Schizosaccharomyces pombe: one gene and its partners. The gene in region 1 interacts genetically with each later gene. Each region holds a gene or a part of one and is shown in the gene's direction. Other genes may lie near its edges.

Evidence for each region.
Region 2: of cdc13 (region 1) and cdc2, extra expression of one rescues a mutant of the other (dosage rescue), as found in Schizosaccharomyces pombe (9 studies listed by BioGRID, with this or other methods).
Region 3: of cdc13 (region 1) and cdc10, changing one suppresses a phenotype caused by changing the other (phenotypic suppression), as found in Schizosaccharomyces pombe (3 studies listed by BioGRID).
Region 4: of cdc13 (region 1) and wee1, extra expression of one is lethal in a mutant of the other (dosage lethality), as found in Schizosaccharomyces pombe (one study listed by BioGRID).

Annotation. Positions count from the first base shown.
Region 1 is NC_003423.3:416,955-425,624, forward strand, and holds cdc13 (G2/M B-type cyclin Cdc13), read left to right. Parts: upstream 1-3,156; 5' UTR 3,157-3,354; exon of another isoform or gene 3,355-3,481; intron 3,482-3,707; 5' UTR 3,708-4,168; coding exon 4,169-5,617; 3' UTR 5,618-6,314; downstream 6,315-8,670. Other genes in the region: exocyst complex subunit Exo70, read left to right, coding at 365-366, 417-445, 506-664, 711-2,265, 2,319-2,355, 2,457-2,522; protein dsh1, read right to left, coding at 6,315-6,644, 6,715-6,784, 6,828-6,917, 6,958-7,419, 7,470-7,738, 7,793-7,918, 7,967-8,206, 8,269-8,396 and 1 more.
Region 2 is NC_003423.3:1,498,257-1,502,595, forward strand, and holds cdc2 (cyclin-dependent protein kinase Cdk1/Cdc2), read left to right. Parts: upstream 1-1,951; 5' UTR 1,952-1,987; exon of another isoform or gene 1,988-2,029; 5' UTR 2,030-2,083; coding exon 2,084-2,120; exon of another isoform or gene 2,121-2,188; coding exon 2,189-2,357; exon of another isoform or gene 2,358-2,429; coding exon 2,430-2,730; intron 2,731-2,831; coding exon 2,832-3,137; intron 3,138-3,191; coding exon 3,192-3,272; 3' UTR 3,273-3,839; downstream 3,840-4,339. Other genes in the region: protein wwm1, read left to right, coding at 545-1,159.
Region 3 is NC_003423.3:2,760,241-2,768,739, reverse strand, and holds cdc10 (DNA-binding transcription factor, MBF transcription factor complex subunit Cdc10), read left to right. Parts: upstream 1-4,939; 5' UTR 4,940-5,149; coding exon 5,150-7,453; 3' UTR 7,454-7,574; downstream 7,575-8,499. Other genes in the region: PAN complex subunit Ppk26, read left to right, coding at 1,050-1,140, 1,189-1,283, 1,343-1,383, 1,429-1,585, 1,639-1,734, 1,774-1,918, 1,961-2,110, 2,156-2,266 and 4 more; mmp2 (endopeptidase catalytic subunit), read left to right, coding at 3,744-3,985, 4,058-4,207, 4,275-4,425; GARP complex subunit Vps52, read right to left, coding at 7,575-8,499. UniProt on the Schizosaccharomyces pombe protein: Major component of the cell cycle transcription factor complex MBF (MCB binding factor, also known as DSC1), that controls G1-S phase specific gene expression. Involved in the control of rRNA production, via interaction with pol5.
Region 4 is NC_003421.2:717,321-726,979, forward strand, and holds wee1 (protein kinase Wee1), read left to right. Parts: upstream 1-4,483; 5' UTR 4,484-4,913; coding exon 4,914-7,547; 3' UTR 7,548-8,515; downstream 8,516-9,659. Other genes in the region: rsm18 (mitochondrial 37S ribosomal protein bS18m), read left to right, coding at 8,690-9,190. UniProt on the Schizosaccharomyces pombe protein: Protein kinase that acts both on serines and on tyrosines. It acts as a dosage-dependent negative regulator of entry into mitosis (G2 to M transition). Phosphorylates and inhibits cdc2.

The DNA of each region.
Region 1 (8,670 bases):
TCAGCTATTTAATGAGAAGTTGAACTGAAACAAAAAATTATGATAATTTTTCTAAATCAAATTCAATATTTTTTATTTATACATGCAAATCTATTCTCGTATTGCTTGTTTCACATCGCTAATAGCCCACTACGATGTGTAAGAAAAGGAAACCAATAATTACACTGAACCTTTTTTAAAAAATATGATCAATTTTCCATTCAAACATATGTAGTTTTCAAAAACGTTCATTACATGAGTCAGAAAAATATCTGGTTGACCCTAACATTCTTTCGGATTGTACACCTTACAACTGCACATGCATTTCACCACACATAATATACGATTTTCATAAATCGCATCCTTCGTAAAAATTATATGCAAAATGTATCTTACATTAAACTTAAAGAATTAAAAAATTGAGCTAACTGGTATAGGAGTGGTGGTATTTTTGATGATAATAAAGGTATTTACCATGTTTATAAATTCAAAAGTTAAAGCTCGATCACTAATTAAATCGTTACAGCTGGGTTTGAAACGTTTCAAAAGAATCTCAATTCGGTCGCAAAGAATGTATCTGATGCCTCTAACATCCTATTGTCCATGGACAAACGATTGAGCGGCCTCGAGGCGTCTGCTGGAATCTTAAGAGATGATGTGACGAACTACAATCGCGTTTCTAGCAGTATGTATTGTTGTAATTTTATTTGTTAATTACTAATTTGTTTAAGACATCTACGACACGTTAAAGGAAATGGAGAGCCTTCAAGTTATCCATTCACACCTTCCTGTGCTGCAAAAGGGGTTGCAAGAATGCCAAAATTTAAATAAATCAGTATCTCAAAATTTAAAATCTGTCATGGACATTCTAAAATCTTTAGCGGAAGATTATACGAGTTTAGAAGGAAGTCCACTTCAATTTGCCTCAAAATCGCAGCAAAAAGTTGAGATGATGCTATCAGAAGGATGCCAGATTTTAGGTGCATTGTGTTATAATATACTTGAAACTTATGCTGCATCCTCCCTTAACAAAGCATCTACACTTTTGGATTTATCCATCCCGTGGAGTTTTCCCAATGAATCTCTTCAGCAATTTATAGGTTTAATTCAGCAATTCGATGCTGATGTTCTGTTCCCAGTTTCTTGCTCTTCAGATATCTCTAATATATACATCAAGATAAAGGGCGAATGTGTTGTCAAGTTACTTCATGCCGTCTCTATGAGGACAGATGAAATTAAGCTCAACGAGGGATCAGTTAACTTCGTGACTGGAAAAGAAGATGTTTCGATCAATTTAGTTGCTTTATCTAGACTATTACCAGCCGTTGCCTCGGAATTGCTACTCTTGTTTGATCAAGTTACTGCTAAGGCACTTTATCCCAAAATCGTTAAGCCTGCCATAAACACTGTCACCAATGCCACCAGACAGCTTGAGGGAGTTTATGAAAAAAGAGGTGCTGCAGAAAATTTTGTTTTGTTGTCTTTAATTGATTGTATCGTTGTTACACGCCAAAACATGAATAATCTTATGCCTTTTGAAGATGCTTCTTTCCTTGGTTTTGTGAATGGTGTTGGTCGTGAAATGGAAAAGATATTGATTTCTTCTATATCGAGGCTGTATAATGGCACTTGCCATAACAACAAAACAGTCCCTCTCACAACTGATAGAGTCAGTGAAATGACTCATGGTATTATGAGTTTCTTGAATGAACTTGCTGAGCATGAAAATGCCTCTTATTTGCTTGAAAGTATTGGTAATTGGGGCTGGAGACACGAAATTAATGCTGATCTCAGTCCTGCGCGCTCAGTTCAAGACATTACGAGGAACTATGTTATGGATTGTATGGATTCCTACCTAACTTCTGTTCAAACAGCTGCCCAGGCAGTGGATACGATTGGATGGAAAATGGGCGTAATGCTTTTAAACATCAGCGTCTATTTTGAAGCAAAATGTCTTGAGTCAAAAATTGCATCATTTTTACAAGACGTTGATTTAGAAAAGCTAGGAGATCGATCACAAAAGTACTCAACCATGTATATGGAAGTTTGGCGACAGTGTTCTCAAAATATGCTCGATTCTACCTATACAAAATCTCAAAACAAATCCACTATGTCTGCTAAAGAACGAGAGATTACAAAGGAAAAATTCCGAAACTTCAACGAACAAGTTACATCTGTTGTTCAAGTGCATCGTGAATCTGTTAGGTTTGAAACTGGTGTTGCCACTTTTCTATTGCAAGAAGTTAAGAAAACTGTACTACCTTTATATCAAAGGTTCTATGATAAGTATGAAGATCAATTAAAAACTGTTAGTTCCACTATAGCTAACCTCTGTTTAGATACATCAACAGTGATTTTACAAAAAATAAAGACAAGGTATGTGTATTGAGGATTTGTCGATATTCATTTGCTAGTTTATCGATGTGTATATACATTTAAGTTGTTATCGTTTTTCATTTTGCTTACTCATTACGTAGTATATCAAATTTACAAAGGCTGATTTAGATTCTTTTATTACAAGCGCGTTTGCTCCTTCCCTATGATTCAATATGATGAATTTGGGTCCTTTGAAATTCCATAATATAGTACTAAAGTGGGTGTACTGGCATTCTCACTTTTCTTTGAAGCATTTGACTGATGTAAATAAAGACGGACCATATCTCAAATTCAAAAATTTGACTTCTATTTTACATTATTAAATCGTTCCATATAATTTTTTTAATTATTAACTCCCCTTTTTTGATGACTTTGTTGTTTACCCTGCTCAGATTCTGCTTACGAGTAAGCTACCCACTAAATATTGTAATTATTAAAGAAAACTTGAAGAACTAATTTTTAATTGCATTTCCCAAGCAATCATGTTTCGATTATATACGTTCTTTACTTTATATAATGTGCCCAGCATAATTTCATAGACAATAACATTATTACCTCTTTTTTACAATAGTGAGGTAGCTCATATACATTAAATTGTGGTTCCATATCTCCGTTTTCTTATTTTTACGAAACTCGTGTTTGTTTTTGTTTAATATTTATATTATTGTTTACATTGAAAATTACCATATTATTTGATGTTTGTATTTGTTTCCCAGCTTGCCAACGTTGCGTTACCCCGACAACCCCATAGTGTTTACGCCCTCTACGATACTCCTTTCAGTCGACTCCACTACCACGAGCTGTCCTTAACCAGCATCTTGACGAGTTTTTACCCTTAAACGACATTCCTGCTCATAGAAATATAAGCAAGAACAGGACTTTTCCCCTATTAGTCACTGTCTAGAGCTAGAGGCGAGAAAAGAAGCGGAACCTGGTCGGTTAAGCAAAGCTTGTTCTTTCGTCTTGTCTTCTTGCTTGTAACAAGAGCTTAATCAGATTGTAAGTAATGTTAAAGGCTGGGAATACAGTTTTGGTTGTGTAAGAACATTTTCATACAATACGACCTTCTGAAGATGTGAAAATTTCTTCCCAATCAATAGTCACCCTTTTTCCTCGACTTCACCTAGTTCAGCGAAAACATGAAATCCTCTTTAAGTCTAACTTCATTTCTTTTTATTTTTTTATTTTTTTAAAATTTATGAAGGGATTAAGGGGTGGGTGCTGTAAAACATGGGGGTTTAAATTTAAATAACTACCCATTTTATTTTCCTATCAAAGTTTCTTTTTTTCATAGGATAATCCTTTATTGTGCCATTTTGTTTTTTCATTAGATTTACTAACGTCATTTAAAGTCAACATTTACCCTTCTTTTCTTGTTCTGGTGTTAATATAGGAAAATCGTACATCGATTCTACATATAGCTTCATTTCAAAGTTCAGTTTCGTGTTCTACGTTTCCTATATCCATTGTTGGACTTCATCGCAATCCCCTTACTTTATTGAAAAAAAGAAGTCTCAAAAGCTCTTGCCAAATTCTAGATTCGGTCAAAGGCTATTATTTTCTCCTTTATACGTACGAGAAACATACATTTTTGCTTGGATTTTATCCTTAAAATTTTTGTATAAACTTTCAAGTATAACTCATTCTATTTTATCTTCTCCGTCCCGTACTACCCCTTCACGTTTTTAGACACTTTAAAAAGGTTGTTCGTTCAAAACCTCTTTTTTATCATTTCTGTTACCTGAACCAATTAATATTTTAATTTCCCTTCCTCTCTTTCAATCCCCGACAGAATTCGTTTCTTCTTTTCCTCATGACTACCCGTCGTTTAACTCGCCAGCACCTATTGGCAAATACCTTGGGCAACAATGACGAAAATCATCCTTCAAACCATATTGCCCGTGCAAAAAGCTCTTTGCACTCTTCAGAAAATTCTTTAGTAAATGGCAAGAAAGCCACTGTGTCTTCCACCAACGTTCCTAAGAAGCGTCATGCGTTGGATGATGTTTCCAATTTTCACAACAAAGAAGGTGTTCCATTAGCTAGTAAAAACACAAATGTCAGACACACTACTGCTTCTGTCAGTACCCGTCGTGCTCTCGAGGAAAAGTCTATAATCCCTGCAACAGATGATGAACCCGCTTCCAAGAAGCGTCGCCAACCTTCTGTTTTTAATTCATCAGTCCCCTCGTTACCTCAACACTTGTCAACGAAATCACACTCTGTTTCAACCCATGGGGTTGATGCTTTCCATAAGGATCAAGCAACTATTCCAAAAAAATTAAAGAAAGATGTTGATGAACGCGTTGTTTCGAAAGATATTCCCAAACTTCACCGTGATAGTGTTGAGAGTCCCGAATCTCAAGATTGGGATGACTTGGATGCAGAAGATTGGGCTGACCCTCTTATGGTTTCTGAATATGTCGTTGATATTTTTGAATATTTGAATGAGTTGGAAATTGAAACTATGCCCTCTCCTACTTATATGGATCGTCAAAAAGAGCTTGCATGGAAGATGCGTGGAATACTTACCGATTGGTTAATTGAAGTGCATTCTCGTTTCCGACTGCTTCCTGAAACATTGTTTTTGGCCGTAAATATTATTGATAGATTTTTATCATTGCGGGTATGCTCTCTTAACAAACTACAATTGGTTGGCATTGCTGCCTTGTTCATCGCTAGCAAGTATGAGGAGGTGATGTGCCCTTCAGTCCAAAACTTTGTATATATGGCGGATGGTGGGTATGATGAAGAGGAAATTCTTCAAGCCGAGCGCTACATTTTGCGTGTCCTAGAGTTTAATCTTGCTTACCCGAATCCTATGAATTTCCTACGTCGTATCTCAAAAGCCGACTTTTACGATATTCAAACAAGAACTGTTGCAAAGTATCTTGTTGAAATTGGTCTTTTAGATCATAAACTTTTACCTTATCCCCCTTCCCAACAGTGTGCTGCCGCTATGTACCTTGCCAGGGAAATGCTTGGACGTGGACCGTGGAATCGTAATCTTGTGCATTACTCAGGTTATGAGGAGTACCAATTAATTTCCGTTGTTAAGAAGATGATTAATTATTTACAAAAGCCTGTTCAACATGAAGCTTTTTTCAAGAAGTATGCCTCCAAAAAGTTTATGAAAGCTAGTCTTTTTGTTCGTGACTGGATCAAGAAGAATTCTATCCCTCTTGGCGATGACGCTGATGAAGATTATACTTTTCACAAGCAAAAACGTATACAACATGACATGAAAGATGAAGAATGGTAATTTAGTGTATTGTGCATATCACTATCTCAACCTCTTTCAATTGTGAATATTCCAACTTGTTCAAGCGCTCTTTATATGTGTATTAGTTTATCACTAATAGCAACCGTAATGTCCTGTAAACGAGTCGCCGATAATTCCTAATGCTTTTGTTTTTGTTTTGTTCTATTATTATATGCTCGGGTACTTGAAGATTGCCAGATGCATAGTACATGCTGGTGTCATTATGAAACCAAAATCATTTGGAGAAGTGTAATTATGGATGCCTTTAAATTATCCCACCTTTAAGTCTTAGATTTGATTATCTGTCGCATATGTGTTTTGATCTATGTGGCTAGTAACGTTATAACAATTGTGTTTCTGCTAATGATGCTGCTTTAAACAACTACGAGTATTGTGCTATTATTTCTTTTTTACAATTAGGACCTTACGATAACAAAATAGTACTATATTTTCTGGATGTTGAGCTACTTGCCGATTGGGAATCCCATATCCTACACCATGAGTCGGAGTAATATTAATAATAATAATGATAATGATAGTTCCTTGAGGTGAATACTACTTTATTATGTTCATAGCTTGCAGAACGTATATTGCTCATAATAAAAATGAAAACAAATAACATCTAACTCTCGATAGACAACTTAAACCAAAACATTAAATGTGTTTCTTTAAAAATAATATCGTGATCCTTTTTTTATTAATCAATAGTAGATCGATTTACAGCCATAACAATGGATTGTGCCGTTTCGATAAAATGTTCAATGCCCATAGGGAAAAATTCCGATATCAGTGGTTTATAAGATGGAGCTTGCCATTGCTGTTTATGTTGATTATCAGCTAATAGATAATCCCATTTTGGATCCCAAAACGAGAGTCCATAACGAAGAACCGAAGTGTCAGAACCAACTTGGTAACATTGGAGACCAGGTTCGAAGTCTGTATCTATATCTTTAACTTTGCCCATATCGTGTGCTTCAAACCGAGTTATATGCAAATGAAAACCGGAAGATAAATGCCAATATTTATGCTAAAATTAGTTAACTACTTACTCAAAAATTGTAAAAACCAACAGTAATGCCTAAATGAACTTCATTTACCTTCAATTTGACAACTAGACTCCGAACTTTTATGTCTCTGGTATTCATAAAATAGATTCTTCCATCATCACTTTATGGTCAGCTTATAATTTTCTTTTAATAGTCAGCCTTACGACATAGAAATATTTGATATGAACTCTTTGTAAAAAGTTGAGTTTTGGGTTGGATGTCCATACTCAATGTAAAGGTTCCATGAAAGCGTACTGCAAGAGTGTTAGAAAAGAAATGAGTAAAAACACGTACTTCAAGTTGTAATAGGTAACGTCCAAGGCTTTGTACATAGTACTTTCAAGATACCACCCGCTAGGTTTGCCTGAATTAGTATTCCATATTGCAGTCAATGTATCTTGAACACCTTTGCAATTCATCACTTCAAAATGTACGGCTGTGATAGGATCATCTGAAAAAGACTCAAAGAGTTTTTCGCCTGTGGGACTACGGAGCTCTTTTAAAACATGGCAAACTTTTACGGAAACTTCGTCAGAGAATAAATACCTCAAAAACGTTGACCGTGTTTGGGGCTCCAAAAAACTTTGTGCAATGTTCACGGAGTTATTTTTCACCTTATTAGTACCAACTTTGAGTCGTTCAAATAGAGGTATACCAACTTTAACTCGCATAAAAACTGTACCTGAGAATAAAAAAACATTAAATAAAGATGCTGAAACGAAATTTTTTAAAAGATTGAAACTCCTTTCACGAATCCTATAGTTATGTCAATAAATATACCAGCCTTTTTAAAAAAAAACACATACAAGTTAATTTTAACACTATCGACAGGAGTCGGTATCGATTCGGGTAGGCGATGCAGATAAATAGAATTTGGCTTGTATTTCTTCGCTAATGGGAAGTTTCGATCATAAAACAGTTCATAAGAGGTTGAGTAGTCGTCAAAATTCATTAGATGCAGTATTGGCTGAGTCCTTTCTAATCTAATTAAAGAGACCTGCTCGTAAAAAATGTGTTTGACTCGCTTCAAAGCAACCTTTAAGTTTTTTACACTGTCGCATCGAACATAAAAGGCCTGAAAGAATGAAATGTAAGCATCCTGTAAAAAGAAATTACTTAAAATACATACAGCTAACTTGGGCAGATAGTGGATATAACATTGGCAATCCACACGGACTTGATTGAATAAAGTAAGATTTTCTCCACCGAAAAATTCGTAAACGTCCAAATCATCTGAAGGTAATGTGAATAAACCCTAATAATCGTCAAGTTATTATAAATGAGCTCAATATGTAAATATTACCTCTGCACGAAATGACAAAGAAGGATCCACATTGAGTAAATATTTTTTTAAAATCAAAGCATCGCGTTTCTTCTTTCTTACTAAAGCAGCTTCTTGACTTGGAAAATCTTTTCGGGGATTTCTGTACCATTTGGAAGCTGCCTTTGTCTCGCCTTCACGAGTATGGGAGTTGTAAAGTGTTTGCAGTGCCTTGGTAGCCAAGTCAAACATTTGTGGGGTTTCATAATATATGAAAATAGCCTGTAGTAATATATGCTAATTAGAAATGCAATCAATGAATGGATAACCCCAAACAAACCTACACTTGAGTGCTCTTCATACTGAATTAATGAAGAGGTTCTTCTTTGAATTTTCGAAATCTCAGTTTTATACCTCAAAAAAAATTTGTTAAATTCATAAAGGGTTCTGAACGTAGGATATGAACATTCGCCTAGGTGAAAAGCAATATATTAGTCAAAGCTCCCAGTACATTCAATGAGCATTTCATACGTTTTTTTCTTATTGAAAATTTCTTATTTTCTGCCATTGCATGTTTTTTTCTCTGAAGTCGACTGCTCTTGAATTCCAATCTGTCAGCAAATCATAAGTGATCTTTTTCCAACTTCAAAATAATAAAATTTTTTAACATTGAATTGACTAATAATTCTCATTTTTAGATAATCATGATCATTCAGTTCAGTAAGATCATATTCTTTTACCTACAA
Region 2 (4,339 bases), 1.1 Mb from region 1:
CACTTCTTTGAGACTTTCAATTACCTGTATAATATCTGTAGATTTGTAGAAACAGCTAAGTATCGCTATATGAATATTGATTACTTACATTGCTCAAGTAGTTTCGTTATAATGTAATGTAATAGATAACAAATTTAAAAAAAAACTGCCTATAAGAATCACTGTATAGCTGAATATTAGTTTAAGAAATTAAGCATACTAGTGGCACCTTTCACCACGAATAGCTCCATGACTGCTGCTAGCATCAAACTTCTCCAACCTTCTTATCGATCTTAACCACTATAATTATCTCACCATCATACGCGGAATTTCATTTATTTGATCAATTGCTTTTTCATTTGCAAAAGGCCAACTATCTAGAAGTATTCTTTCTCTTTCCATTTGTTGTTACCATTACTTCTTGCGTACAGAGCAGATAGAAGTATTAGAATTCATTTATTTTTTGTTAACTGTCTTTTTTACCAAAAAAATTATTTTTTAAGATATTCCCTTCATTCCAAACTTTTCTCTCAATTTATACTCAACATATTTCTTAAATTCCATTATGGCTTATCAAACTCGTGAAGGTCTCCCTAATGGCTGGGTCGCTCAGTGGGATGAACGCTACAAGTGTTACTTTTATGTTAATGAAAGTGATCCCAAAGCAAAGCCGCAATGGGAATGTCCGGTCCGTGGTTTAACTATTCCACCACCTCCTTCGGTGGACCACTCTGCTCCCCCAAGTGGACCGCCTCCTTCTTATTCCAACTCAGCCGCTCCTGCCACTCCTGCCGCTTCTGCTTCTTCTGCTGCTCCTGCTCCTGCTCCCGCAGCTTCCCAAAACAGAGCATACGGGGCCGCTCCACAGCCTTATCCCCCTCAGGGCGGTTATCCTCAACAACCATATTATTATCCCAATCAACCAAATTATTACCCAGCCCAGCCTGCCTACGCACAACCCGTATATGCCCAGCCTGCTACTTCTGCAAGAAGAGGTCGTAGCGGAGTCTTGTCTAATCCCATGGTGACTGGTTTGGGCGGACTTCTTGTCGGTGGTTTGGCTATGCATGAAATGGACGAAGCTTTTGATCGTCCTGAAGAAGTTGTTTATGTAGATGATAATAACTACAACAATTTTGATGATTATGGAGGTAATGACTTTGGCAATGATTTCTTTTAAGGGAATTTCATGCATCGATTATGTTATTGAGTTCAACTGCATTATTGACAAGTGTTTCTCGCAAGAAAAATTACATTAGATGAACGATTAATACATATTTTACTGCAGAAATATAAGATCATTCATTTTACACCTGTGTGTACACGGGGATAGTTCATTAGTGTGGTTAACTCGAAAGTCTTCGTCGTAAATGAATATTGACTTATTCAATGCTGTTCCCTAGTAATAGTTATTATTTATATTAACTTTTTTTTACCTTTTCTCCTTCGCAATGCTTTTTATCTATCTGGATTTTTTTTATGACTCTGTAACTTCTGACATACACACGGATTCTGCTTGTTTTTATAAGTGTGATATTTATTTATTTATTTTTCTTTTAAATAAAAAAAAATGTTTTGTTTTCTTTGCGAGCAGGTGGAGAAGTCTTTGACAGTTTTTACAATTTCACATTTATCTTAAAGGGTTAGTCTATAAATATTAGACAACTCAGGATAATCCAACCTACCGTAAATTTATTTATTTAATAATAGCACTTTTTTGACTGATATTCACATTTACAATTTTTTAATTCACGGTTATACAATGTCTTCAGATGATGTTTTGATTATGTAGTTCTTCATATCTGATCACCTAGTATAAATTGCAAGTAATGAGTTATGTCCTACTTTTCTAATTTCATTTTTGATAACAGTATAATTCATAAGTTAGAAACATGAAGCGCTAGCCCTAAGTTCGGTTTGATAATAGTCCTCTGCGTTTCCACTAGTCTATCGCTAGTTGAGCAAGCTTACCCACAGCACAACACAACATAAGCAAATTTGTATAAACGTATTTTGAGATCATTCTCGCATCTCTATTAACAGATATTAGAAAAATTATTTTCCAAAAAACATACCGCTAGGTTGCTTCTTTTAGTGGTTTGCAATGGAGAATTATCAAAAAGTCGAAAAAATTGGGGAAGGTAGGTGTAACTGAGGAAGCTATGACTTATCCAATTTCTTTTCTGTCACGTATACTGACTAATGCTAGGAACCTATGGCGTTGTTTATAAAGCAAGACATAAATTGTCAGGGCGTATTGTGGCCATGAAAAAAATTCGCCTTGAAGATGAATCTGAGGGAGTTCCTAGCACAGCTATTCGTGAAATTTCGCTTCTTAAAGAAGTGAATGATGAGAATAATCGATCAAATTGTGTTCGGTAAGTTTTTACTTGACGGATGCATGGGAAATGTTTACATTGATAAAACTTTGTTTCTAACCCTTTTTTAAGACTTTTGGATATTTTACATGCTGAATCAAAGTTGTATCTTGTTTTTGAGTTTTTAGACATGGATTTGAAAAAATACATGGACCGAATTTCAGAAACTGGGGCCACTAGTTTAGATCCGAGACTTGTTCAAAAGTTTACCTACCAGCTAGTGAACGGTGTAAATTTTTGCCATTCTAGAAGAATCATTCATCGCGATTTAAAACCACAAAATTTGTTGATAGACAAAGAAGGCAATTTGAAGCTAGCAGATTTTGGACTTGCGAGGTCATTTGGTGTCCCTTTGCGGAACTATACGCATGAGGTATATTTTTTTTCTTACTTGGCTGTATGACTTTATTCCCAAAAAATTTGGAATATTGACTGACGGTCTTTCAGCATTAATTTGTGTCGCTAACCGTTTAGATTGTCACTTTATGGTATCGTGCTCCTGAAGTATTGTTGGGATCAAGACATTATTCCACTGGGGTTGATATTTGGAGCGTTGGATGTATTTTTGCTGAAATGATTCGACGAAGTCCATTATTTCCCGGTGACTCTGAGATCGACGAAATTTTTAAAATTTTTCAAGTTTTAGGTACCCCAAACGAAGAAGTATGGCCTGGAGTCACGCTTTTGCAAGATTACAAATCCACATTTCCTCGTTGGAAACGCATGGATTTGCATAAAGTTGTTCCCAATGGTGAAGAGGACGCTATTGAATTACTCTCTGTAAGATTTTGCATTACCATCTATTTAAGACTAATTACTAACCATTTTGTCAAGGCTATGCTTGTTTATGACCCTGCCCATCGCATTAGTGCAAAACGAGCTTTGCAACAAAATTATCTTCGTGATTTTCATTAATTTTCGTCTCTTATTATTAAACCTTTAAAAACGCTATCCTTGACTTTATCTGTACTTTGCTGTGTTTCTTGATATCAGTTATTAACAAATTACCTCAATTTATAAACCGAAAATATTTATTTTCCTCCTTCTTTTTCGAATCTTGGCGTTTGTTCAAAACATACTCAAACAATGGGCAATTTACAGGGCATATAAAAAACACTGACATATTGAGCTTGCCATTAAATGTGAATTTAGTAACGTTTTTAGTTCTGTTCCCTTTACTGTGTCTTTATTGTAAATATCACTTTAAATGCTTTCTTTGACTGTCAAGGGAATTATCGCCGTTCTTTTTACAAAAGCAGGCTCTGAGTGTTTAAATCTATTTTTCTTTCATTCCTGATAAAACTGAAGCCTTTTAATCTCCCTTTTTCTTACTTACTCTTATCCTTTGTTTTCCAGTTTTTTAATCCTCATTTATACTATATTCTATTTACATATTTTTTATACTTAAGTATTAAAAAAGGTGTATATTCTTTAGACTTTAGTTTTTAGTGTTCGTGTTTGCTCTGAACATATAAACTGCACTTACTTAGATGTATTTAGTATCAAAGAGGTGAATTAATTTTACGAGCAAACGGTAAAAGAACGTAAATGTGCTTATTGTTCAACAGACATACGTGTTTATTAAATTTTACAAGATGAAAGTGATATGAATATTTGTATTTCACACTATATTGAACGCTAAGCGAGCATCATTTACAGCTTAAGTCTATACCTAGAGCGTTTGGAAAAATTCAAAATTAATAAATCGTATAAACAAGAAGTAAAACTAAACAGCGCAGGAGAAACCACTAGATGCATGGATACATACTAACGATTGAACCTGGCAAAGTGTAATTGGACAGAATGAAACGAGACATATTGGAAATATAACGTCTAAAGATGAAACGCAGGACAAATTTGTTTGGAGGCTTGAGAGGAATGAAAAGGGAGCAAATACATGGAGGGAAGAGCATTTCCATTAAACTGCGCATGCACATTTTACTTTCCATGCTTTAATCATAGAAAAAGGTAACCAATTAAAT
Region 3 (8,499 bases), 2.3 Mb from region 1:
ACAATATTCACGCATTTTCTCCATTTTTTGTTCACATACTTGCCATAGCTTTTAAAAATAATTTTTCCAATCAGACAGAGATAAATGCCAAATATCATACACTTGTCTTTAAGTTTTCAAGAATGTATTAAAACATGGGTAACCATTCTCAAAAAATTAAAAGCTTATTCAATACAAAATTCACCGTTCTCTTTTCATTTTGAGCTATTTTAACTCAATTAGACTTTTCATTCCTTACTCTGTTTTAGAGGACAATGTAAAGAGAATAGGGTAATAAATATGCTTTTATAATTGACAGTCTGTTATTATTCTTTTTAGCAATTTAAATATTTTTCTGAATTCCTAAAATTTCTTTAATTAATTAAATAAATAATATATACTTTTTTGTCTGACAGATCAAAAAAGGAAGGGTGTCCGAGTGGTTATGGAGCTAGTTTAAGGCACTAGTGCGAAAGCTCGTGGGTTCGAGTCCCACCCCTTTCAGTAATTTTTTATTGCATTTTATAGCAAAACAGGGGAGTGTGAATTTGGCAAGCTGTTAGTTTCTATAGGGAATTTATAACTGCGAACTAAGTTTTCTTACTTGCAATGGCTATATATGGGAGGCCGAATTGCTTGAAAAACATAGCTTTGCATTTGAAACAATTCGCAAAAGTTGGCACTAAGGAAGAAGTTAAGATAAAAAAAATTCAGTTACTTTGGTTTTATGATTTGCAATTAAATTACAGTGATCGCAGAAAGATAGCAGCATTACGAAGACATGTTCAACTGCTACATAACACTTGCTATTGTTAAAGTTTTCGAAATAGTTACTGCCCGTTACATGTAAAGAACAGATAAAAAATAAATTAGAATTACTGTCTTCTCAAATGCTTAAATATTACTACTATGAAATTGTTATATAAACAAAATGTAGCGTTGCAAAGTATTACAGTAAACTTCGTTGTGCTGCATTATTAGTATTGTCCGGGACTTACTGATTCCACGACCTGTAACTAAATTGCTATAATCTCAGACTGTTAGCTTGGGATTGCCTGGAAATTGACAGGATGAGTGTGAGGAAGAATTCTCCTGCAAGCCCAAAGCCAACTTCCCGTTCTAGGGAGAGTTCCAGGTCTCCGTCAGTGACTGATTTGAAAGGTAAATGGAAATTCAAAGCAAAACTTGACTGACCACCATTTTTAATAGACCATTCCAAAGCTAAACGAACATTATGTAGAAATATCTTACTTTATGGATCCTGTAAGCATTCAGAAAATGGATGTGCTTTTCGACATGATGGTGTAAGTATAGGCGTATTCTCTTAACTTCAGAGAAGCTTCTTGCTTACGATTGTTTGTAGCCTTTCATCCCTTCTTCAGAGAATTTGGAGCAATACTCAGTGTATGATTTTTTTTAAGGCTTTGTACGTATAATTAACCTCGCTAGTAAGAAAAAACTGAATGCTGCGTCGGCCTCTTTTCAACCTGTTCGCGCTTTACCAGTAAAGGCTGCTGGCGCTGCAGTATTTGTTCCTAAATCACAAGAAAAATCTCTTTTTCTATCTAGAGAGCGTACCCCTGTTGCGCTTTCACCAGGTAGTCATGTATGTCTGGCTAACAGCTTATATTTTTCTTACTAATTTTACTGTAATTTTAGGCTATTAATCCTTACAATAATGCATCTATGTTGGTCAATGAGCCTTTTCATGATGACTCTGGGGTTTATTATACTCGTCAAAACCAGTTTAAACCCGTAAGTCTAAAGCCTTATTATTGTTGTTGACAACAACAGACATTGTACAATTTATATAATCCGCAACCTTCTCCCATGCCAACTTTACTTCCTTATGAAAGAACTGTAAACGGTCTATTTATTGATGATACGACTAGAGAAAGAATCGAGAGAAAGAGCGAGGCATCCCGTCAGACAATTTCAGGTACTTAATTTGTGTCTAGCTTCCTTTATACTAATATTTTAGCGCTTCCGTCTATTATATCTTCATATACTTCTTTGGCGCCACTGAATACAAAGCTTTATCGGTATAAAGAGCAAATTGGATTCTCTTCTTGGACGTACAAATGCACTTCTTCCATCGATGGGAATGCTTACGTTTTGAAACGACTCCAAGGTAACCTTCAGATTCATAAATTGCAATTGCTAATATATTTAAAAGACTGTTCAATTAATATTGATACGTCGACTGTCGACAAGCTTAAAAATGTTTTTCATCCAAATATCGTACCATTCCATTCTGCTTTTCATACTGATACATTTCATGATTCTTGTAAGTTTATTTTACTAAACCTTACTAATTAATCAAGCGTTACTATTAATTTATGATTTTTATCCGTGTACTACAACCCTTGGTGAGCTCTACCTAAACAATTCTAAAAATTCTGTCAAGTTGGAGGAAAATAGAAAAATTCCAGAACGAGAGTTATGGAATTATTTTTTCCAGCTTACTATCGCTTTGTCATATCTACATAAATCCGGGTTTGCTTGCAACAAGCTTACTCCGTCGAGAATCCTTGTGGATCAAACTGAAAGGTATTTTTTTTTGAACATTTTTTATGTTTTGATGGAATACATTTCTTTAATTCATTAATGACTTATACTAACGTGTAAAGGATTCGTATTAGTGGTTGCGCTGACTATGAATTGGTAGTGTCAAACAAGCCTCCATTAGAGGAACGAAAGAAGCAGGATTTTGTAGATCTTGGAGTTGTGATTGCGAATTTAGCTACTGGAAGAACTGATATGGACATGTCTTCAGCCGCACGAGCAATTTATAGTACATATTCGAGGGAATTTTATAAAGCGGTTTTATACTTTGTATCGGAAGTTCCTGAGGATAAAAACTTGGAGTTGTTTTTGCAAAATCACATAGAAAGTTTTTTCCCTATAATGAGTTCACCATACGTGGAATGCGAAAAAATGGAGAGAAAAATTTCGGACGCTTTCCAACACGGTCGATTTTTTAATATTTTGTGCAAGATTATGTTTATTATTGATAATAATAGAGCTTCTCGTGAATATCCTATCGCACGAGAAAAAGAAATTTCATTAATCTACTTATTACGAGATTATCTTTTCCATCAGATAGATGAAGATGAGTGTCCTGTGATAGATTTATATCAAGTGCTGAATCGCCTGGGAAAGGTAAGTTTTTTACATTTTTCTCATTATTGCATTTATTAATTCATTAGCTTGATGCCGGTATAAATCAAGCCATCGCATTAATTTCCCGAGATGAACTTGATTGTGTTTCAGTTTCTTATGGGGAGGTAAGTATTTGCTCAAAAAGCCATAGTGGGTGCTTAGTAAATTAGACTACTTTTCCACACTATATAGCCTGTTTGTTTGCAAAATTACTAACAATAACAAATGTAGCTAAAAGCTTGGTTGGACAACGTTTACGAAATGGAAATAAATTCTTAAAATAAAACATTTTTCTTTACAGAATATTTATTTGTTTTTTTGTATCTATTACCATGGTTGTTAATTTAAGTAAATAATAGTTTTCGCTATAATAATATTAGAAGGAAGCTAAGCTTAATGTGGTTTTGAATTACCTACTGCAACACACCGTATTGAAACAAAAACGATCAGGAATAGAAGCCTGACACTTATCAGATAAAATTCATTAATACGTTTTCCTGGTTTAATTATTAATTACGGAAACTCCCATGCTTGTTAAGGTACATACAGACGGTTAATCATAAACTTCTTAGAGGAGAGAGTTTAGCAGTTGTCCTCAAAAAATGGCAAACCCTTTCGTTCGAAATCAATCTTTTAAATCAGTATTTTTTAAAAATTTAGTCGGAATTACCCTATGGGTACCCGTATTAATGTTCGTTGAACAACATGTAGTCAGCGTCGGTACAATTGAAGGTAGATCTATGAAACCAGCCTTTAACCCTGAGACAAACATGCTGCAGAGAGATAGGGTACTACTTTGGAAATGGAATAAGGATTACAAAAGAGGAGATGTAGTTATACTACGGTAAGTTCTTGGATCGTTGCAGGGTCTTTCGGTACTGAGTTTCCCTTTTTATCGTTACTAATAAGCAACAAGCTCTCCAGAAAACCCAGAGGAACTATTGGTAAAAAGAGTTCTAGGAGTAGAATACGATATCATGAAAACGAGACCTCCTAAAAAGTTGTCATTAGTACCCGTTCCCGAGGGACATGTGTGGGTCGAAGGCGATGAACAATTTCATTCTATGTAGGTTTCCAACAATTGTTTTTTTACTTTTTCGTTTTCTTCTATAGAGATATTAACTAGTTTACAGTGATAGTAACAAATTTGGCCCAGTATCGACAGGACTCATCACTGCCAAAGTGATTGCAATTTTGTTTCCCTTCTCTCGTGCAGGGCGTATTGATCATGAAGGTTTCCGAAAGAATGCAGTGTTTTTAAGTGGAAAACGTTCTGTTAAGTAAGCTGCACCACAGTGAACCTGTTTCCTTGACAGTTTAGTTCCATGCTGGTTGGTGCTTATTTACATTTCTTTTAAGGAACACGTTATCCTTAAATTTAATTTATTTCGACGCGTCGCGTTCTATATATGACGTCATTAATATGTCTATCTATTTACCTATTTGAAAAAGATGGAAGTTGGAAGCTACTTTGTATTAGAAATACCAATAAAAAAATATAATTTTTTCATACTCAACATCAAAACTTTTATTTAGGGAAAATTAGAATTGACTGAAAAATCCGTCTCTTTTGCATATCCCGAAACAGTAAAGTCGTTGAGTATAGCAAAGTTGGAAATTTTTCAACAGGGTATTTGAAATGAGAAAGAATTCCATTTCTAAGTAGCCTTTAAATAAAACCCCCAGAAGAAACGAACATTGAAGTAGTCCTTTGTTTTCCTTAGGAAGCCTCATATATCGTTACTTCGAATACGGTCTAACGCCGTACCAAATGTATACAGCTGCGTGAACCTTCCCAGAGCGAATTTGTGTATAACACGAAATCCGAAAAAATTACTTCTATTTATTTGAAAAAGAAAGGAATTCACAATCTCTTAAACAAACCAAGTGGTGAGGAGCTCGAGTCTTCTTTCATGGTCAGTTCAGCACCCTTATTTTCGAGAAAAACGTGCTGCCCTTTATAAAAAATTCGATATTTTTTCGGCATTTTTTATTTTAATATACTATAATGGCTTCAGCCAATTTTATTCGCCAGTTTGAGCTGGGGAACGATTCTTTTTCATACCAAAAACGCCCAGAGGATGAGCCATCACAACCCCTTTCAAACAGAAATATAAACAAACTAAACGATTCATCTACTTTAAAAGACTCTAGTTCAAGGATTTTTATTAACTCCCAAGTTTTACGTGATGGCCGACCCGTAGAATTGTATGCTGTCGAATGTTCAGGCATGAAATATATGGAGCTTAGCTGTGGGGATAATGTTGCTCTTCGAAGATGTCCAGATTCTTACTTTAATATCTCTCAAATACTTCGACTTGCTGGTACTTCGTCATCTGAAAACGCCAAAGAATTGGATGATATTATCGAGAGTGGGGACTATGAGAATGTTGACTCCAAACACCCTCAAATAGATGGAGTATGGGTTCCATATGATCGAGCAATTTCTATAGCAAAGCGATATGGGGTTTATGAAATTTTACAACCATTAATTTCTTTTAATCTTGATTTATTCCCCAAATTTTCAAAGCAGCAACAAATCGAAAGTTCTTCAATCTCCAAAAATTTAAATACTTCTTCTTTTAATACGCGATCCCCTTTGAGGAATCATAATTTTTCAAACCCTAGCAAGTCTTCAAAGAATGGGGTGCACACTATAAACAATATGCAGAGTTCACCTTCACCTTCTTCCTCTTTCTTACTACCTTTAACTCAAATTGATAGCCAAAATGTTAAACGCTCTAACAATTACCTCTCCACCTCTCCACCTATCCTTGAACAGCGTTTAAAACGGCATAGAATTGATGTCAGTGATGAAGACTTACATCCCTCCTCACAGTTAAATGATAATGAGGCCTCTTCATTGTTTCCAGATACGCCAAGGTTGAACCATTCACTTTCTTTTGTATCCTTGGTTTCTAGTCTTCCTCCACTTGATCAGAATATTATGCAGGATTATCATACATCAAAAGACATTTTGACCTCTATCTTTTTAGATGTAAACTTTGCTGATTCCAGCGCCTTAGAAGCAAAGCTGTCGGACTCATTAGATTTGGATGTCCCCATTGACGAACTTGGACACGCCGCTCTGCACTGGGCAGCAGCCGTTGCCAAAATGCCTTTGTTACAAGCCTTAATACATAAAGGAGCTAATCCTTTACGTGGCAACCTCACAGGAGAAACGGCATTAATGAGATCGGTTTTGGTAACCAATCATCTCAATCAGAACTCTTTTGGTGATTTACTAGACTTGCTTTACGCATCTCTTCCCTGTACAGATCGAGCTGGACGGACCGTCGTTCATCACATTTGTCTTACTGCAGGTATAAAAGGCCGAGGTTCAGCATCGAGATATTACTTAGAAACCTTATTAAATTGGGCAAAGAAACATGCAAGTGGTAACAACGGATATATGCTGAAAGACTTCATAAACTATTTAAATCATCAAGATAAAAATGGGGATACAGCTTTAAATATCGCAGCAAGAATTGGAAATAAGAACATTGTTGAAGTTTTAATGCAAGCCGGAGCTTCCGCTTATATTCCTAATCGTGCAGGGTTAAGCGTAGCAAATTTTGGAATTTTTGTTGAAAACGCATTAAAACAACCCGAAGACTCAAAACAAACAAAAGTTTCCCTTATGAGTGAAAATCTGTCCAGCAAAGAAAAGACTGCTGTCCCTCCTCGTCAAAAGAGTAGAGACATTATCGCCTCTGTGACCGATGTAATATCTTCTCTGGATAAAGATTTTCAGGATGAAATGGCTGCAAAACAGTCTATGATTGACTCAGCCTACACCCAATTGCGTGAATCTACAAAAAAGCTGTCCGATCTTCGTGAACAACTACACGTGTCCGAGACGCAAAGAACTTTGTTTCTTGAATTAAGGCAACGTTGTAAAAATCTTATGACTTCGATCGAAGAACAGAAAAGTGAATTAAGTAATCTTTATGAATCTTTTGATCCCAATGGAATACACGATTCATTATCATTGGATGCTGACGCTCCTTTTACTGTCAATGAAAACAACAACAAAAATTTATCTATTGCTGAATTGAAGTTTCAAGTTGCTGCTTATGAGAGAAATGAAGCCAGATTAAACGAATTAGCGAACAAACTTTGGCAACGAAATTCCAACATAAAATCAAAGTGCCGTCGGGTTGTTTCCCTATGCACCGGTGTCGATGAATCTCGAGTGGATTCATTATTGGAAAGTTTGTTACAAGCCGTGGAAAGTGACGGTCAACAGGGAGAAGTAGATATGGGTCGAGTTGCTGGATTCTTACGTGTTGTTAAAGAACATCAAGCATAATATTGCTTTTTGTGGTTTACCACTAAAGTGTCCTGAAATAATTAACTACTTTAATTTTTTTCTTAATATAGAATCCTACCAAATGAATAAAACGTAATTTATTATATGTTAATAATCTTGGCTATTGGAAATTAGTTAAATTTTCATTAAGCTTTTCGAAATATGTTTTTTGCTCTATAGCTAAATTTCCCGATACGCCGCTAAGAACAGTCGAAATGAGGGTATAATTATTGGACAAAAACCTACTTTGTCTCCTTTTGTCATTAACTGTTTTACACAGGTTTTGTAACATGCTCACATAATCCTGAGCTAGTCTTGAAGCACTTCGTGCAACAGGCTCGGCTTCTACGACATTAACACTTAGCATCGAAAGGCTATAAAGTAGTTCAGCTACTCGCTGCGAAAGTGGATGAGGTCGCGAAGTGATTTCTTCTGGCTTCACAGATAAGTTAGTTTTACGGAGTGACTCACAGTGCATGTCCATGACAGCTTGAAAGCGAGGCCACAGAAAAAGAATCATGGAGTTATAGTGTGGCTCAATAACAGGCACTATATTAGTTTGCGCCTGTAAAGCTAATTTTTGAGTAAAACGAATGGACTTCAAAATACCTATGCAATCGATACTGCTTGATATCAATCCTGTAATGTATTTGCGTGAAAAATGTAAAGTTTTTTCAAAGATAGCGGCAAAAACGGTAGCCTGCTGATCTTTAGAGAGGTTAAAGTACTCCAGCAAAAAAGCATATTCAGAAGAGACGTGTTCCGTCAAGACTAATTCCCATGAGCAATAAACACGTTCAATATATTGTGGGGAAGATTCAATATGATGCATTGTAGATGCTGTCAACACAGAGTTCATATCAAAATCCTGAGGGCGCAAGTTTACTGAGAGCATTTGATTCCCGTAAGATTGTTGTGCTCCTTTGGAAAGGTTGAAGAGTCCTTTCCGATCCTCTTCAACGCGAATAGTTTCTCCCTTAAGGACATGAACTTTGTCCAAAAACCTAGAGTACTGTTCGAAGTGGTATAGATAAAACCAATTCATC
Region 4 (9,659 bases), on another chromosome or scaffold:
ACGTGTCATTTCGCACTGCTTTGTATTTTATTAATATTTTATTAAACAAAATGCGATAACTAGCGTAATTTGGAATAAAAAAACACCCATTCACCTCGTAGCATACACTTCGCTCGTGAACGCTATTTTCCACTTCCACTATCTCGTCTAGCGTGAATGCGGGCATAGCGATGCAGCGACACATTGCAGTATTTCACAATTACAAAAGTGTCGATCTTTTTGTTGTTGCGCTAAATAGTGTGCTACTAAACATTTTGATACATTCTATAAACTCGCCAGCGTTTATTCCATTTAGTGTCTTTCTCGTATTTTGAATTCATGTGTATGTGCTAGTAACTAAAATTTCTTCTCATCCAATTTTTTTTTTTTTTTTTTTTTATTTAAATTCTCTTCCAACCAACTTCTACTCGTTCATTTTTCTATTGACATTTGTGTTTAACTCATACCTCGTAATAATCACGTTTACCAATTCGACGACCCTCAGCAATTGACTCTCTGAGCCACATGAAATCATTTTCTTATTTTTTTTTCTAACTTTTTTGAAACTCCTCAGCACGTTCCCACAACTTTTTAGCAGTGTCAACAAAGCATTCCTCATCGGAGCGATACTTCAATCCAATCGACCTTGAGTAAGAACCATCCAATACCATGAATCCAGGATTGATAGACGCTTTTTCAGGCTTGGAAATAACTTGTTGCTTGTCAGGAAAGTGATTACGAAGTGTGCTGCAAATTTCCTCTGAAGTGAATAATCCCTTGCATGCAATCATTCGACCGTTCGATAATTTTTTGTTTTCTAGCGCTAATACATGAGCCGCTGCTAAATCGCGAACATCCACGTAATAATAATAAGGTGAAGAAGGATTGGCTTTGGAACCATTGATCAAGCTCCATATCACCAAATTCGATGTGTTTAGTGAGTCCATGTTCTTCATAGGTTGAATTGGCGGTCCAAACACATAAGGAGGATTGACTGTGCAAATATCAAACGAAGAGCGCTTTTGCGCTACATAATCTCTAGCGGCCCTTTCGGCACAAGTCTTTGACGCACAATACGCAAAGGTTCCGTCTTTCGTACTTATTCCCTGCTCATACGTGATGGGATTCCAATCCTTCTCCGTATACACTTTACCGCTATTAACGTCGATTTCGAGATTAATAATGGCGGCAAAAGAGGAAGTAATCACAATGCGCTTCACACTTTTCTCACCATGAGCTGCCTCTAAGACACTTAGTGTGCCTTTAACTGCTGGATCCAAGAGTTGTGTTTTGTTGTCAGTAATATTATCAACAAACAATGGAGACGCTACATGACAAACGTAATCCACATTTTTTATGGCATCTTCGAATGCATTAGGATCGACAATTCCTTGACAATTACAAATTCCACTTCATCCTTAAAATCAGGATTCAATCGAACAAGTTCATTCGCTTTTTCCATGCTTCTCACCGTACCGCGCACATGATATCCAGCTTGTAGCAGTTGTTTAGCAACATGAGCTCCAATAAATCCTGTAATCCCGGTGACAAGAACCAGTTTTTGGCTCATTATGGGTGATTAACGATTTTAGCAATAATACAATTATAACCTTGTTACAATAAATATAAACGGTAGTGTATCGTGCTTATGTAAGCTTGCTTAAGTAATAACAACCTTAGTCAGCGTACGATTATTGTCTTACTTTCAAATTTGCACTAGGACTTTGCGCCTTGTCATATATCCGCCAGCTTTCAAATAATCGCTTCGTAATACCACACAAACCCTATGTTAAGTTAAATAATTGTGGAATGGTATCAATGAATGAGTGGATTAATTTTCCAGTACAGGTAAATTCCCACCTTTTTCCTTAACTGAAAAATGGATGAAACTGAAATCATGAATCTGTCCAAGGAATTCCAAACGTGACAAGAACAAGCAGTCGTTGTTTGTTGGCCAAGTTATTAGTTTTTACATTACAAATACAGAACAGTTGAATGAAAGCACAAAAGAAAAAAAAATCTGAAACAGCCATCAAATTTAAAGGCAAACAGTACACAAAAAAAAGTATTTGTTTATGAAAATTATTGGTAGTGCAGATTATCTATAAACATGTAGTGGTAATAGTAAAAAGGTGGTGTATTGATATTATGATGAATGAAACCTATGTAGTTCTTCAAGAAAGTTATGCTTAATTCAGACTACATTTTCTGGAAATTCTTTTGCCTTATAACTTTGATGAATTTCATCTATGTATTTAATAGTATATCATTTAGTGATGAATAGTGAATAAATTTAGAGCTCCTTATGTGACAAACAAGGAATTAACTTGCATTCGATTCGTTCGTCTAGCACTAAATGAATCTGTGTTATTTGTGTGTGTAAAGAGATTAGTAAGTAGGCTCTAAAAAAAAAAAAAAAAATGTGTGTATATTTTTAATTTATTTTAAATATTTTTCTCCTTCGGTTCTTTTCTTCTTCTTCTTTTTTTAAGTTTTATTTATTTATTTTTTTATTTTTTTATTTTTTTTTTTTAATTTCAAACAGCTATGCTATAGTCTAGTGCTTCTCTTGCAATTTGACAATGTTTTCGTAAATTTTGCCAGATAAATGAGTTTTTGAGCAACTATTTAAATTCGGTTTAATATATTTAATAAACCTATTTTATTCTATGTCGAGAGAAGATTGAGATGATTAATCATTCCCTCTATCTATTGATTGTTTCATTCATTGTAACTAACAAATTCTATGATACTTCGCCTATCTGATTTACCATTATTCTCACTGTACTTTCTTAAAATGTTCCACTTTGGATGGTTTGGATTCTAAAAAAAGAACACTTGACTTTTCCTTTTTTTGCAAATCCGAATATTTTTAATTCTTGTCTTTTTACTTCTTTGCCCCCCTTTCACTTTCTTCTGCTCCTATCGTCTCCCCCTTTTTTTTTCCATACCTTTCGATATCTGAATCCTAACACAATTTCCTAATGTTCAAGAAAAAAGAATATTCGTTGATATATAAAACAACTTTAATTATCATTCTTTAAGTCATTTCATGTTTATTATTTTAATTTTAGCTTCTCTTTTGAATGCTTAGAGGCACTTTTTTTCCTTCCCTGTTAATTTTTTGCATTCCTTTTCTCTCTTCTCTTTTTCTATTTACCTTTTAACACTAGCACTGCTTTATCCCATGCAACCCTTAAATGTTCGAATCGATAGATAATAGAAGAATCATGTAAAGACTAAAAGGTGATTTTTCTCCCTTTTTTTTTTTTTTTTTTTTTTAAACGACTTTTATTGTATTGTCATTTTGCAAAGTGAAACCAATTTTATTTCTATTGACCCACCACTACTTTTACTAAAACAACAATAACATTAATTCCACAATTTTTTTTTTTTTACCATCTCCTTTAAATCAAAATCCAGGCTAAACCATTCACACCACCTCTTTTCATCTCTTCGTTTTCCTTCCGCTTTTTTGTCTCCGTCGCTAACGGGATCTCTCATTTGTTTACTGGTTATTCCTTCATTCATCAACATCACACTGTCTTTCTTTCCACCACTCACCATGCCAAGTGCCTGAATTCATCTGAACCGTTTCTGTTTTTTGCATGTTATTTTAGGGATCGTATTTCCATATCTTTTCTTTCTCATTTATTTCCAATTTTACATCTTTCCTTTGATTATTTACTTTATATATATGGACAGATCGACATACTAACGTGCACTTACCGCTTCTAGTTAGTCTCCAGTGTGTGACCTTTTCGTCATTACTTTGGTACATTTCCCTTCCATCGGAAAAGTAAGCTACTTCCATTCTTATTCATATTTCTTGTCTTTTCCCCATTTTTTTTTCTTTTGTAGCAGCGAAGAAGAAAAAGGGACATTCATTAAAACCATCTCCTTCAAAAACTCGTAGTTTCGGCTCATCCACTCGTTTCCTGTTTCTGTTTACATTTTTTTCACCACCAACTCTCACTACTTCTCGCTGCTCTGATCCCAAAACTACCTTACACTACACTACACTACGCTGTACTATACATATTTAGCTAGGAGAAAGCAATATCACTAACCAACGAATTACGATTTTTTGCCCAGTTTCGGTATAATACTTCCTCCTTCAACCCGGCCTTCCGACGTGATTTTCGCATTCTCTCCTTATTTATGAAAAATAGTTTCCCCTCCCTTTTAATCAGCTGTTAAGCGTCCTTATCTGCTTCTTTCTTTATAGGCTTTAGACGTTCAATTTGCTGAAAATTTTGTGGTTCCGTTTCTTTGTTTTCCTTCCGTGTTTGCTAACCTTTTTTCGTTGTTTTTGGCTTCTTCTAGGGAACGTCTCGGCTCAGTGCTCCACAATAAGCTATCGCTTAATTTCACTCACTCAGCTTTAAAGGAATACTGGAGTGGAACGCATACCCTAATACCGGATTGGACACTTTAAGGCTATAGCGGCTTTGAACCCCCCCTTTGTACTAGTAAAAGTAGGTGGGTGCAATATCTTCGTCGTAACCTCAACATACCACTTTACTTATTAATAGACATAATTCGTTGAAGCAAACGAGAGCTTTTTTGCTCTCTTGCCTTTGTTTTCTTCTTATTTATTTTTAATTTATTAAACATTTCTCTTTTTTTGACGTTTCTCCTTCGTTTTGACAATATTACGAGCATTGGCTCAATTTCTTCTCTTTTGTTGAGGTGGTAGGCCTTCAGAATATCGGTTGGAATTTTCTTTTTCATTTTGTTTTCTCCCTTTTCTTTATTCCATTTACAACTGTGCATTACGCTTTACCTACGAAATCCTAGTTGCTTCGCACTTCCCTCGTTTATCGATTGTTCGTTCGTACATCTGTTCCGTTTGCATTCCAATTCAATTTAATTAAATCAAAAATTTCATATCTATTTTTTTGTTAAATTGCCACATTTTCCATACAGAAAACATGAGCTCTTCTTCTAATACCAGCAGTCATAGATCTTATGGCTTACGGCGGTCCCAACGCTCCATGAATCTAAATCGTGCTACTTTGCTCGCTCCTCCAACTCCATCGAGCCTGTATGATGCTAACAATTCTACTTCATCTACCTCTTCGCAAAAGCCAAATACCTCTTTCACTAGCTTATTCGGTCCTCGCAAACAGACCACTTCCTCCCCTTCCTTCTCTCATGCCGCCCCTCTTCACCCTCTTTCTCCTCCTTCTTTTACACATTCACAACCCCAGATACAGGCACAACCTGTACCTCGGCGGCCTTCCCTTTTTGATAGACCCAATCTGGTATCACGCTCTTCCTCTCGGTTAGGTGATTCTCCATCTCTTTCTCCTGTTGCCCAGGTGGCTAATCCCATCCACCATACTGCCCCTTCACCCTCAGACGTTCGTGCGTTTCCCATTCATAAAAATGCATCTACTGGTGTAAAACGAAGTTTCTTTTCTTCCTCCATGTCAAACGGTGCAATGTCCCCTCCTTCCCACTCTCCATCTCCCTTCCTTCAAAGCTCTCAACACATACCTCCTTCTACTCCTGCTCAGAAGCTGCGAAAGAAAAACAATTTTGATTCTTTTCGTATCTCAAATTCCCACATCTCTCCATTTGCATCGGGCTCCTTCTCTCCTTTTGCAACTTCATCGCCTAATTTTTTATCGACTTCCACACCCGCTCCTCCTAATTCAAATAATGCTAATCCTTCTACCCTTTTTTCGTCCATACCATCCTCTCGACACACTACCTCTAATCATTTCCCTTCTAACTCCGCTCAATCCTCTTTGTTTTCTCCTACCGCTCGTCCACTTACTGCACGCAAGCTTGGGTTTGCCTCCAGCCAAACTAAGTCTGCCGTATCTAACAACCATTCACGAAATAGCTCTAAGGATGCATCATTTATGATGAAAAGTTTCATCCCTTCTAATCGCTCACATCCTCAAACCCAACAAAATGAATCTTCCCTCTTTTCTGATAACAGTATGGTTAACTCCTCTTCTAATTCATTCTCCCTTTTCCCCAATGCTACTCTACCTAACCCACCCTCATCTGAGTTGTTAACTACTCCCTTTCAACAAATCAAACCTCCTTCCCAAGTTTTTATGAGTACAGGTCTTTTATCCAAGCAACATCGTCCGCGAAAGAATATTAACTTTACACCTCTCCCTCCTAGTACTCCTTCAAAACCCTCTACCTTTGTTCGTCCACATTCTTCCTCCACAGATTCGCCTCCATCACCCTCGACTCCTTCCAATACACAAACCGACTCTTATTTTATTCAACGGGAAAACACTCCTACAAATCACAATTCCATTCCTACTATTCAGTTGGAGAAAAGTTCCATGGACTTTTTGAGGTTCGATCCTCCTCCTTCTGCTGTAAAAACTTCTCACAACTATGGATTACCATTTCTATCTAATCAGAGGTGTCCCGCTACGCCTACTCGTAACCCATTTGCGTTTGAAAATACTGTTTCCATTCACATGGACGGTCGGCAACCTTCGCCTATCAAATCGAGAAATAATAATCAAATGTCATTTGCCATGGAGGAAGAAGCTGATGTATCTCAACCCTCTTCTTCAAGCTTTACATTATCCTTTCCTTCTGCTCTCACCTCGTCCAAAGTATCATCATCTACTTCACATTTGCTTACACGGTTTAGAAATGTTACTTTACTAGGAAGTGGAGAGTTTAGTGAGGTTTTTCAAGTTGAAGACCCTGTGGAAAAAACTTTAAAGTATGCAGTGAAAAAGCTCAAGGTAAAGTTTAGTGGACCAAAAGAACGTAATCGACTACTTCAGGAAGTCTCTATTCAACGAGCCCTTAAAGGCCATGATCACATTGTAGAGCTTATGGACTCATGGGAACATGGGGGGTTTCTTTATATGCAAGTCGAATTGTGTGAAAATGGTAGTTTGGATCGTTTTCTTGAAGAGCAAGGACAACTTTCAAGGCTCGATGAATTTAGGGTATGGAAAATATTAGTAGAAGTAGCTCTTGGGCTACAGTTTATTCATCATAAAAATTATGTTCATTTGGATTTAAAGCCTGCTAATGTTATGATAACATTCGAGGGTACCTTGAAGATTGGTGATTTTGGAATGGCCAGTGTTTGGCCTGTTCCGAGAGGCATGGAAAGAGAAGGTGATTGTGAATACATTGCGCCTGAGGTTCTTGCTAACCATTTGTATGATAAACCTGCTGATATTTTCAGTTTGGGTATCACAGTCTTCGAAGCTGCTGCTAACATTGTTCTTCCTGATAACGGTCAGTCTTGGCAGAAATTACGTTCCGGTGACTTATCAGATGCTCCTCGACTTTCTTCAACAGACAACGGTTCATCTCTTACTTCTTCTTCTCGTGAAACACCGGCTAATAGTATAATAGGCCAAGGGGGACTTGATCGCGTTGTAGAGTGGATGCTATCTCCAGAGCCTAGGAACCGACCTACCATAGATCAAATTTTGGCAACTGATGAGGTTTGCTGGGTTGAAATGCGTAGAAAAGCCGGAGCCATAATTTATGAAGGTATTCATGGATCTTCTTCTAACCCCCAGGGTGATCAAATGATGGAAGATTGGCAGGTGAATGTTTAAACCTTTTAGAGACTCTTGTTCTCAATGTTTATTACTGCGAAATTGCGAAATAAGGGAATGGCTTCCAAAATCTGTTTAGCTTCATAAAAGCAAACACTTTAATTATTTTTAAACGAAAAGTTTAGTGATTGGTGCTTATAATTAATTTTGGTTCATTAAATGCTTTTTTTTTATTTAAGGATACGTGTCCGTTTTAACCGAACCCTTAAATTTTAAAAAATTTTAAAAAATTATTAGATGATAGTTTTTCTATTTAATTTTTTGCCTTTTCACCGGATTATCTATTTGGTTTTCTTCAGTCAAATATCCGGTTAATTATATCTGAGGCAATATGATGATGGCTATGGAAACATGCCATTCAGTTCTTGATATGGGGAACTAGAATGTTTCCTTAATTTAAAGCCTTGACGCCGCACATACTGTACGTGCTTTGTCTACTGAAAAAATGTTAGTGAACGATTGTTTTTTATATCGCAAATCCTTTCTCTAACATGTAGACTCGGCTTCAGAGGAGTTATTATTCCTATTTTTCATCTATTTTATTGTCTAATTTCTTATGTCACTCGTTTGTTATCGACTTGATATGTTGCATTTACTCATCTTTGCTAGCATAAAGTTCGAATCCCGACTGTTTATCCACTTTTTTTTGACTTCTGTTTTCATAATAATTTAGATCGATCGATGACACTGCCTATTATTCTTGTACATAGTTTACGATCTTGCTGAATGGCAAATAATTGGTTATGTTTATGGAAAATGCCACGATTTACTAACGAAGTTTAATAACCCGTTAGATTTTTTATTATTATCATATCATATAATAATTAGTAATAATGTTAACGTTATGCTTAGTTCCACTTCTGTAATTTTTAATTTCCCTTTTTTTTTATGCTTGTGAAAGCTGTGTATATGCTCAAGTTTGTGATGCCTTCAAATTAGTATAGGATTTTAATGACCCGTTTAACACTTCATATCTAAATAAACATTTATTTTGAAACAGAAAAGTTAGAAAATTCAGGTATCATCACGTTTTCATTTATCAGACACAAGCATAAGCTATAAACTATTTAACGAGTGTCTCATTATTTCACTAAACACCTTCAAACATTGAAATATTACTTTGACAACAGCACGGGAGAAAAATGCTTGGGAGACGAATATTTTCTCCAGCTCCAAACAGAGGATTTATTTTATGCAATCTCATACAATCTAATAACTCTACGCGAAGAGGGTTTTCGGACAATCGAAAATTTAATGAGAGAAATTCTGAAGCATCTTCAAATGTAGGATTTCAGAGAAGAGTTCGCTCAAATATTCCATCATATTTATCAGCCTCCGTAGAAGAAGGTGATATTTACTCTCCCAATGATTTACTGTTTGAAACGGTAAAGGCGAAAAATCAAGCCAAATTCTATGAACCAGTAAGAGAAGATTGCTTTAAGACGGTGAACGAAAACCCTATGAATTATTGGAAAAACCCCGTAATATTGTCAAGATTCGTTACTGAACTTGGTCGTATTAAACCCAGAGGTGATACTGGCCTAACAGCAAAAAATCAACGACTTCTTTCTAGGGCTATCCGAAGGGCTCGAGCTGCTGGTATAATGCCGACGAAATACAAATCAGTTTATTCGGAAAATTAAATTGTACTGAATATTAACAAGGACGTTCTATATCTCATTTCATCACATTGGTAGATATACTTACCCACTGTCCCTTACTTTTTTTTTCTTAAGGAACGATAAACGATCTACTTTACTTTTTAAATGATTAGCTCACGTTAATTAATATTTCAGGTGTACTTTGGTTTTGAATAGTCTTTTTTGGATTAAAATATACATGACACAAAATCATAAACCGCTGCTAATATTAGTGGCTAACATTTTTTAATGGCTTTAAAAATATAATATCTTTGTTATCTTTAATTTTTAATTTAGCTTGATTGAACTTTTTTGTAGGAGGAGCGTTAGTCGATACAATGTATTAAAAAAATTATCTAGTAGTAGTTATTTTACTTATCTAAAGAGGACAGAGAGGGAAGAACAAATAATTATATGCAAAAGAAGAAAAAATCCATCTAGAAAAGAATTGGGTTTTATAGAACGATATTAA